Linked DNA regions of Neodiprion lecontei. The protein of the gene in region 1 purifies or fractionates together with the protein of each later gene. This does not show direct contact. Links are inferred from orthologs where the notes say so. Each region holds a gene or a part of one and is shown on either strand. Other genes may lie near its edges.

Region 1 (3,760 bases):
GTCAGCAAAAAATGTCCTGAGACGGATGAATTAAAAGCGAGTAAAGTACAAGAGTCAAGTGTTGTCGCAATGTCAACTGATTGGAAAAAGCTATTAGCATACGGCACAATTACCAAGATAGTTGGTGACAAAATGCATTTCAAAACCTTCCTCAGTTTTTTCATACGGATGAAAAGCGATTCCCGCATTATTGATCAATATATCGAGTTGGTCTAGTTCTAAAACAGGAGGTAGATCAATGTAACACCAGATTTACGAAGTCTTTGTTTCTCGCATCATACCCAGATCTTCGGCAAAGGCACGAACACTCTTCAGCGAAGACAAGTCCACGACTCTAACGTCTGCCTTTCCATTAGGCATGGCTCGTATTTCTTCGGCTACGTTATTTCCAGCTTCTTCATCTTTGACAGCCAAAACTACGTGTCCTCCTCTCCTTGCCAGTTCCAAAGCTGTTTCTCTACCGATACCGCTCGAAGCCCCGGTTATCACAACCGTTTTCCCATCAATTCTTTCCTCGCTGGGACAGTCCGGTCCTCCCATGTAAGCCCTAAAACTCCACCCGCTTATGTACCCAATCCCACGCGTTATATCGAAGGCATGCAATGGTCCGAGTCACAAATAATCCTCAAGCAACACGTCAGGATTTACCTTATCATTGTTAAAATTCCCAATACGATGCCGACAACGTACGGCCAGTACGAGTCCAGTAGAGGACTAAACTCTTGTAGAACATGCTGAAATTCTGCAAACTGACTCATGGCGATTTTACAAAGGTATGACAAAATTTATGCCACGATAAGCTGTCAAACTGTAGCTCAAAGTTTGAAACTAAACGGCATCGACTATCGGTAGCAGGCTTGAGTTTGGGAGAAACAGCGACCGGTCTCAGCTGGTGAACTGTATTAAAATAAATTTACAGGGGGAAATGCAACGAATTGATCTAGATTGATGATAATAATTTCAAGGGGGCCGGATGTGAGAGTTAACAATGCATAGCAGCAGCCGTTACCTAGGAAGCACTTTCAGTTGCGACCAACCAAACTCTCAAATTTTATTCATTGTTTTGTTACATCGATCAATGACAGATATTCGCATAACAAGGAGAAACGTAATTCTTTAATTTTTCCGTAAAATTCCGTGAAATGATCATTTCTCAGTTATCGCTTGTTCATTCATTCCATCAAACCGGATCTGCACGTGCATCGCATGAACAATGCACGCACATCAGTTGACAATTTGACATCTACAATCGCAGGCGGCTGTCATCGGCGCCGGATTCTGGCCGTTTATCGAGCGTGCTTCTCGATTTGAAAGAATTTCGCATTATCCGTAGGTGAATAATAATCCCCTGTATACGAGTATCTTATTGTAACAGTGAAGAATTGAGTAATTCGTTAGCTTTTGTACGACAAAGAATTGCTTTTAGGTTAAGAAAACGGTGAGATAATTTTCTCGCTTTTCAAGAATCGCGTGAATAATATTGAGAAAGTCTGTTGAAGAAGTGAGATACAGTCATGACGGTAGTTTGGGAGTCGGTGGGCAGTAGCGTTGAGAAAGATATTTTGGTGCCTGGAAAATTTTCAAAGAAGCCTACGGAACGTTCCAGATGCCGTGTTAGAATCGAAGACGTAAACTCATCAGGGTTGTCCGATAACCCCGAAACTCAACACAGCGATTACATTAAGCCATCGTCAACAGAAGAACTGACAATAACTGTCGGGGATGCCGATTGTAGGGTAGACGAATATGTCGAGAGGGCGATTCAAACGATGTTCACTGGGGAGCAGAGTTTGGTAAGAGTGAAATTAGACGACACTGTTTGCCTATCGCTTAAGATAAAGTTGTTAGCCTGTGAGGTACACGTACCGATTTGGGAATGGTCGGCAAAAGAGAAGTACGATGTGGCGTTGTATTACAAAGAAGCAGGGGTGCGCCTTTATAAGTCCTCGAGAATCGTTGATGCTTTTTCGAAATTTAGCAAAGCTTGCAAGATCCTTATCAGTTTGGAGCCAATCCCCGAAAGCGATATAGAAGATTCGCTCAGAAATGACATAGAACATCTTAGGAGGATCTTGTACAACAACATGGCGGAATGTCACTTGACGCGGAAAAACTTCGAGCATACAGTTTCCCTTTGCTACAAGGTGCTCCAGAGGGACGAGAACAACGTCAAAGCACTCTACAGACTAGCTGTAGCCCGGGAAAACCAAGGGGATTACGAACGAGCCTTGGCAGACATGGAAAAAGTCATCGGATTACAGCCAAAAAATCAAGCTGCAAAAGAAAGACTGATTATTTATAGGAGAAAAGTTTACGAAGCTCAGAAGAAGTATGACAATATGGTGAAGAAAATGTTTCACGTACGCGAATGAGCGACATCGTCGCTAGATTGTATGTTACTTGTGTATAAAGGAAAAAAACAATCTATTACATAACTGATTTGTAATTATAGTATAATAATCAGTACTTTTTTCATTTATATAAACAATTTATTTTATTCAACCACGGTTACCCCCTGATGATTTCTGTTAACAAAGCTTCGGTACATAATCCGTAAGGCTCCTCCTTTATTAAATCACATCTGTTATAATTACAAAAATACGCATTTATTTCTACTATAATAACAAACAATTGGAACGTAACTTAATTCGCATCAATATTTTACTCCTGATTAGACATACGAATATTTTTAAAATCACTAATCATCCCCCTTTTGAGAGATAATTTTATTCAATCGCTGTAGTAAAATATTGCAAGAGCTTCAAAGTTAGGAAAATCACGACACATTCGTTCGCAAAATAAGACATTCGAGTTATAGCAGTCGTATGTAAATCAAGAGTAAGGGACAAGAGTTCGACTCTTCACAGAGGAAAATATTTTCTTGAGATATCTCGTGTCCGGACTTTTATTGCTATGATTTAAGTAGAGATTATTTAATTTATTCTTGTAGGAAATTAATGCAATGACTCAAGATTGAATCATACTTCCTTCGAGCCGTGGATGTTCAATATATATTTTCAATTTAAATAATGGCACCTTGCTTAAGGACTTGCTTATCGATTACTTACACGTTCGGACAAATGAGTCTTCTCTACATTTTTGTAAATAAACCTTAAGGTACTACTTAAATTTTGTAACGCGCTACAAGTTCACCTTCAGTTAAGTAATCGAGCAAGTCATCGTTACTGTGGCCAATGGCTTAGAAATTTCAAATACGGAGTTACAAAACAATAACAACTTCCCTTTAATAAATTAACACAGTACCAAAGAAACTATTAAAATCACATGAGTAATATATTTAAGAAAAAAAATGTATGCGCCATCACCGTTTAAAAAAGTTTATTCTTTATCATTTTTACTATTGTTTGATAAAAATCCTCTCAACGGTTTACTTTATTCGGTTAGCACTTGTTATTGAGCTTTTGTTCTATTGACTAAGAATTATTTTCTAATAAAAACCTTGTGTACCCGAAGCTGTTAAAAACAGCATTCGTCGTACAAAGGTGTTTCCTCGTTTAAATAAAGAATACCAAGGAATTCTTTAAAAACTCATGCAAGAATGGAGAACTAAAAAATACTGATTACACGTGTTGAGTAAATAATCGATACAAATATTTGCATGTACGTACGTACGTACATAATTAAAAATGAAAAAAAAATCAAAAAACCGTAACAATGTACGAACAAGTAATCAAAATCAATGCTAAAATAGCGTCACAAGGCATTGTATGTAAAATACATGGCAAGACATTCACCAGCA
Region 2 (3,331 bases), on another chromosome or scaffold:
CTTTGAACTTCAACAATCAACTGGATTTTTAAATTATGTGCAACTTTATAATTGTACCTACAAATTGTGCGCGCTTTATAAACGTATATTAATAAGTAATGATAAATGCATCAGGGATCTTGATTACATTATTGCTCGAACTATAATAACACGCAAGTGCAGTGAGATCGAAGTCTATATAGTGATGGTAACCGTCATTAAAAAAAAAAGCTTCTATGGTGACATCGAGTGACTTGACTTATCTCTACATGTAACTTACATGCGAACTTTTCAACATTGAACCCGACAGTAGGGACAATATCGATACACCGCTCTTCCTCGCGTTTGAAATGATTTATTACCGTCGACTTACCACTGTTATTAAGTCCAACAACTAATACGTTCACTTCTTTTTTCCTTAGGCCGAAAATATTGGCCAACCGATCAAACAACCCCATTTTCCAAGTCCCTTTCCTTTACAAGCTTACGTGTCTATCGAATATCAATAATCAAAGTAGCGCCATAGCACGTCACAACCCTAGCGCTACGTCAAGACATGTGATTAGATTCTGAACTATAATGAGAAAAGAGATATTTTCTCGACTATAAAAAAACTTGTTAGGTTTATTTGTCAATAATAGTAGTTATCCTCGGTTTGTTTCTACATATTCTGAACCATTCAAAATACACGCATGGATGATGCGAATTTCCAGCACAGTGTACTCGAATGATTAATCAAAAATGGTTCTGCTTCTAATTCAATCCTGGGGGAGTTTCGCCGGCTTCGTGCATTCCCCTGATACGTTGACTAAAGATATCGATACAAAAGGTTTCCTTAGAGTTGGTATTTTTGATTTTCGCGGGATTTTTAGCGTTTCGCTTTGTATAAACCACGTATAAACAATCGACGATCGACAGTCTATGATAAGTACGGGATCTTCTGTACCGATAGGACCGAGAAACTGGTCAGCCACAGACGCGGGACAATTCAAAAGAGTATAAGGATGATGCAAGATAAAGAGTCAAGCTTCACAATTGAATAGTGACTTTGATGTATTTTACAAGTGATAACGGAAGTGTAGAAAATGAACTTTGTGAGTGATAAACTGAACTATGCAAACTGATCTTTACAAATACTTAAGAGAGAAGTTCTTTCTCTGTTCAAGCCAGAAATACGAGTGCCTGTTCTTTTTCTAAATCTCCTCCGACGAGGCACAGGTGCATGAGCGGAATTCACGAATTATATCCACCCAATCAAAAAGGTTCCTTTCCATTAAAAATCCTGTTACTGTACGCCCTCAACTGGTTCCTACTTCGCTCCCATTTTGGGGGTAACGAAGTGAGACCCGCGTATAACTCCGCAACTCGGGATAGTTCGGCGTCCAAAAAAGATTTGTGCACATGTGCGTGAGAAGAAGAAGGGTTTTCAAACAAAGGGCAAGCTCTTCGGATGTTTTTCCCTAAATTTCACAACTTTATAACAAAAACCCTACGCACATGTGCAAGCCGTAAAAATTAAATTCTGTTCAAAGCGTTTTCCTTACAATATTTATGCTTTTCGTGCCTTGAAGAGACTTTCTTCTGGCTTATTTCTATCTCGGGTGCCCATGTATCTTTTATTTTTCCGAACTGTTAATACTACTTCTAATCTCGATGCTGTTTCAAATATTCCCCCCAGTATTTCATCCATTATATTAAAACAGAATCGTCTGCCAACTGTATTTTGCGAAACTTTTAATGGTTGTAAAAATGTCATCCGAAGAAGAGGACGACCAGATTACGGATTTGGAGGCAATTCGCGACAAAATTTTGAGTCAGCCACGCAGTGAGCGAATGCAAGTAAGTGCCTGGGAAGATGACGATGACGGTATTGAAGAGGACCGAAACGCGAGAGGTTAGAAAATGTACTGTTCTCTAAGGATAAATTTTTTTTTGCCATAAACAAATTTACAATTTTTTATGGTAAATTCGATTTAAACTGGAAAAAAATATCCGCATAAATTACCCTCATGAAAGCTCGAAACATCTAAAATCCTGTTGCACAGAACCAGACAGTAAAGCCATCCTAGAAGCAGCTGAAAAAGGTGATTTAGAAATGATCAGACAGCTGGTTATCAGAGATCCTAGTTTAATCCATGCCACAGACCATGATGGTTATACTCCTCTTCACAGAGCCTGCTACGGAAATCACGTAGATGTTGTCGAGGTTTGTAGAAAGAACTGATAAACATCAATCAAAGGTTCTTTAAATATACAGTTCGACAAAATGTTGTCACTTTTACATTTACATTTTACTTTTCAATAGTACTTGCTTGAAACTGGAGCAAAAATTGATGCTAAGACCAATGATGGCTGGGAGCCGCTGCATTCCGCGTGTTGTTGGAATCATGTTGATTGCGCAGCTGTGCTGATAGCTAATGGAGCTGATATAAATGCTAAATCAAAAGGAGATCAAACGCCTCTTCATTTGGCAAGTGCAAGTTCTCACAATTCTCCAGCACTGCAGCTGCTACTTCTGCATTACAATACTAATCCACATTTAGTGAATTCCAGTGGCGATAATGCGGAGCAGATCGCAAGACGTACTGGAAAATATTATCCTTTATTTGAAATGATAGAACCTTGTCTCAATAATATTTGAGATCAATTTAGATTCTATAAGTTTGTTCTTTGGAGATATTGCGACAGCAAAATTTTTACAAAACATTGGAAGTGTATTTTGACATGTTACAAAAATTTTATTAAAAAAATCTAATAAATGTATAACCATGTATGTTGCTTCTCAAATTACATAGCAGACCAGTTCGACAAAAATCTTTCTGTCATACATATATTCCATTCACACTTCACAACTAAAACTGGGATACAGTGACTATAGACCTAAACAGATAATATCAGTATTTACACTCGGGGATTATTATAGCATCATAAAAAAAATATTTTATTCATTCTCTAAGCACGCTAGAACTAACTTGAAAGGAACCTAAAGTGAGGATAAGTTCACGAATTTTGGTGTTCCATTACTCAGGCGGCGTATGCCTTCCCAAATTAAAACTGTAGAATCTTCAGCTGCTGCATATAAATGGTGCTGATCCAAAGCCCATGCTAATGCGATTATAGCACCGTATCCTGTACCACTATTTACAATTTCTCTGACTAATCGTAGGTCCCAGCTGCTCCACAGTCTAAAGAAATAACGAGTCATGTGTTGGATTTACTATTGTTGATAGAATTCCTGGAATATTAGTTGAGAATAGGCCTACCGTATTACTCCGTTATCTAAACCTGTTGCAATGACATTGACTGAAACACCTTCAGGAGCATTGCTGTAGCATAACGCCGTCATTCGCCT

What was found. The genes of interacting proteins can lie anywhere in the genome.
Region 2: the proteins of tetratricopeptide repeat protein 9C-like (region 1) and ankyrin repeat domain-containing protein 49 purify together in Homo sapiens (affinity purification with mass spectrometry; 4 studies listed by BioGRID and IntAct, counting the BioPlex papers as one, with this or other methods). This does not show direct contact. The link is inferred for Neodiprion lecontei from reciprocal best matches to the Homo sapiens genes FKBPL and ANKRD49.

The regions. Positions count from the first base shown.
Region 1 is NC_060263.1:660,385-664,144, reverse strand, and holds tetratricopeptide repeat protein 9C-like, read left to right. Parts: upstream 1-1,194; 5' UTR 1,195-1,514; coding exon 1,515-2,372; 3' UTR 2,373-3,293; downstream 3,294-3,760. Other genes in the region: retinol dehydrogenase 13-like, read right to left, coding at 1-16, 114-218, 282-562, 649-758. UniProt on the Homo sapiens protein: May be involved in response to X-ray. Regulates p21 protein stability by binding to Hsp90 and p21.
Region 2 is NC_060262.1:37,937,923-37,941,253, forward strand, and holds ankyrin repeat domain-containing protein 49, read left to right. Parts: upstream 1-1,308; 5' UTR 1,309-1,716; coding exon 1,717-1,873; intron 1,874-2,024; coding exon 2,025-2,185; intron 2,186-2,284; coding exon 2,285-2,620; 3' UTR 2,621-2,752; downstream 2,753-3,331. Other genes in the region: ADP-ribosylation factor-like protein 6, read right to left, coding at 260-437; lysosomal-trafficking regulator, read right to left, coding at 2,963-3,164, 3,243-3,331. UniProt on the Homo sapiens protein: Induces HBG1 expression. May have a role in spermatogenesis where it promotes autophagy in response to serum starvation, via the NF-kappaB pathway.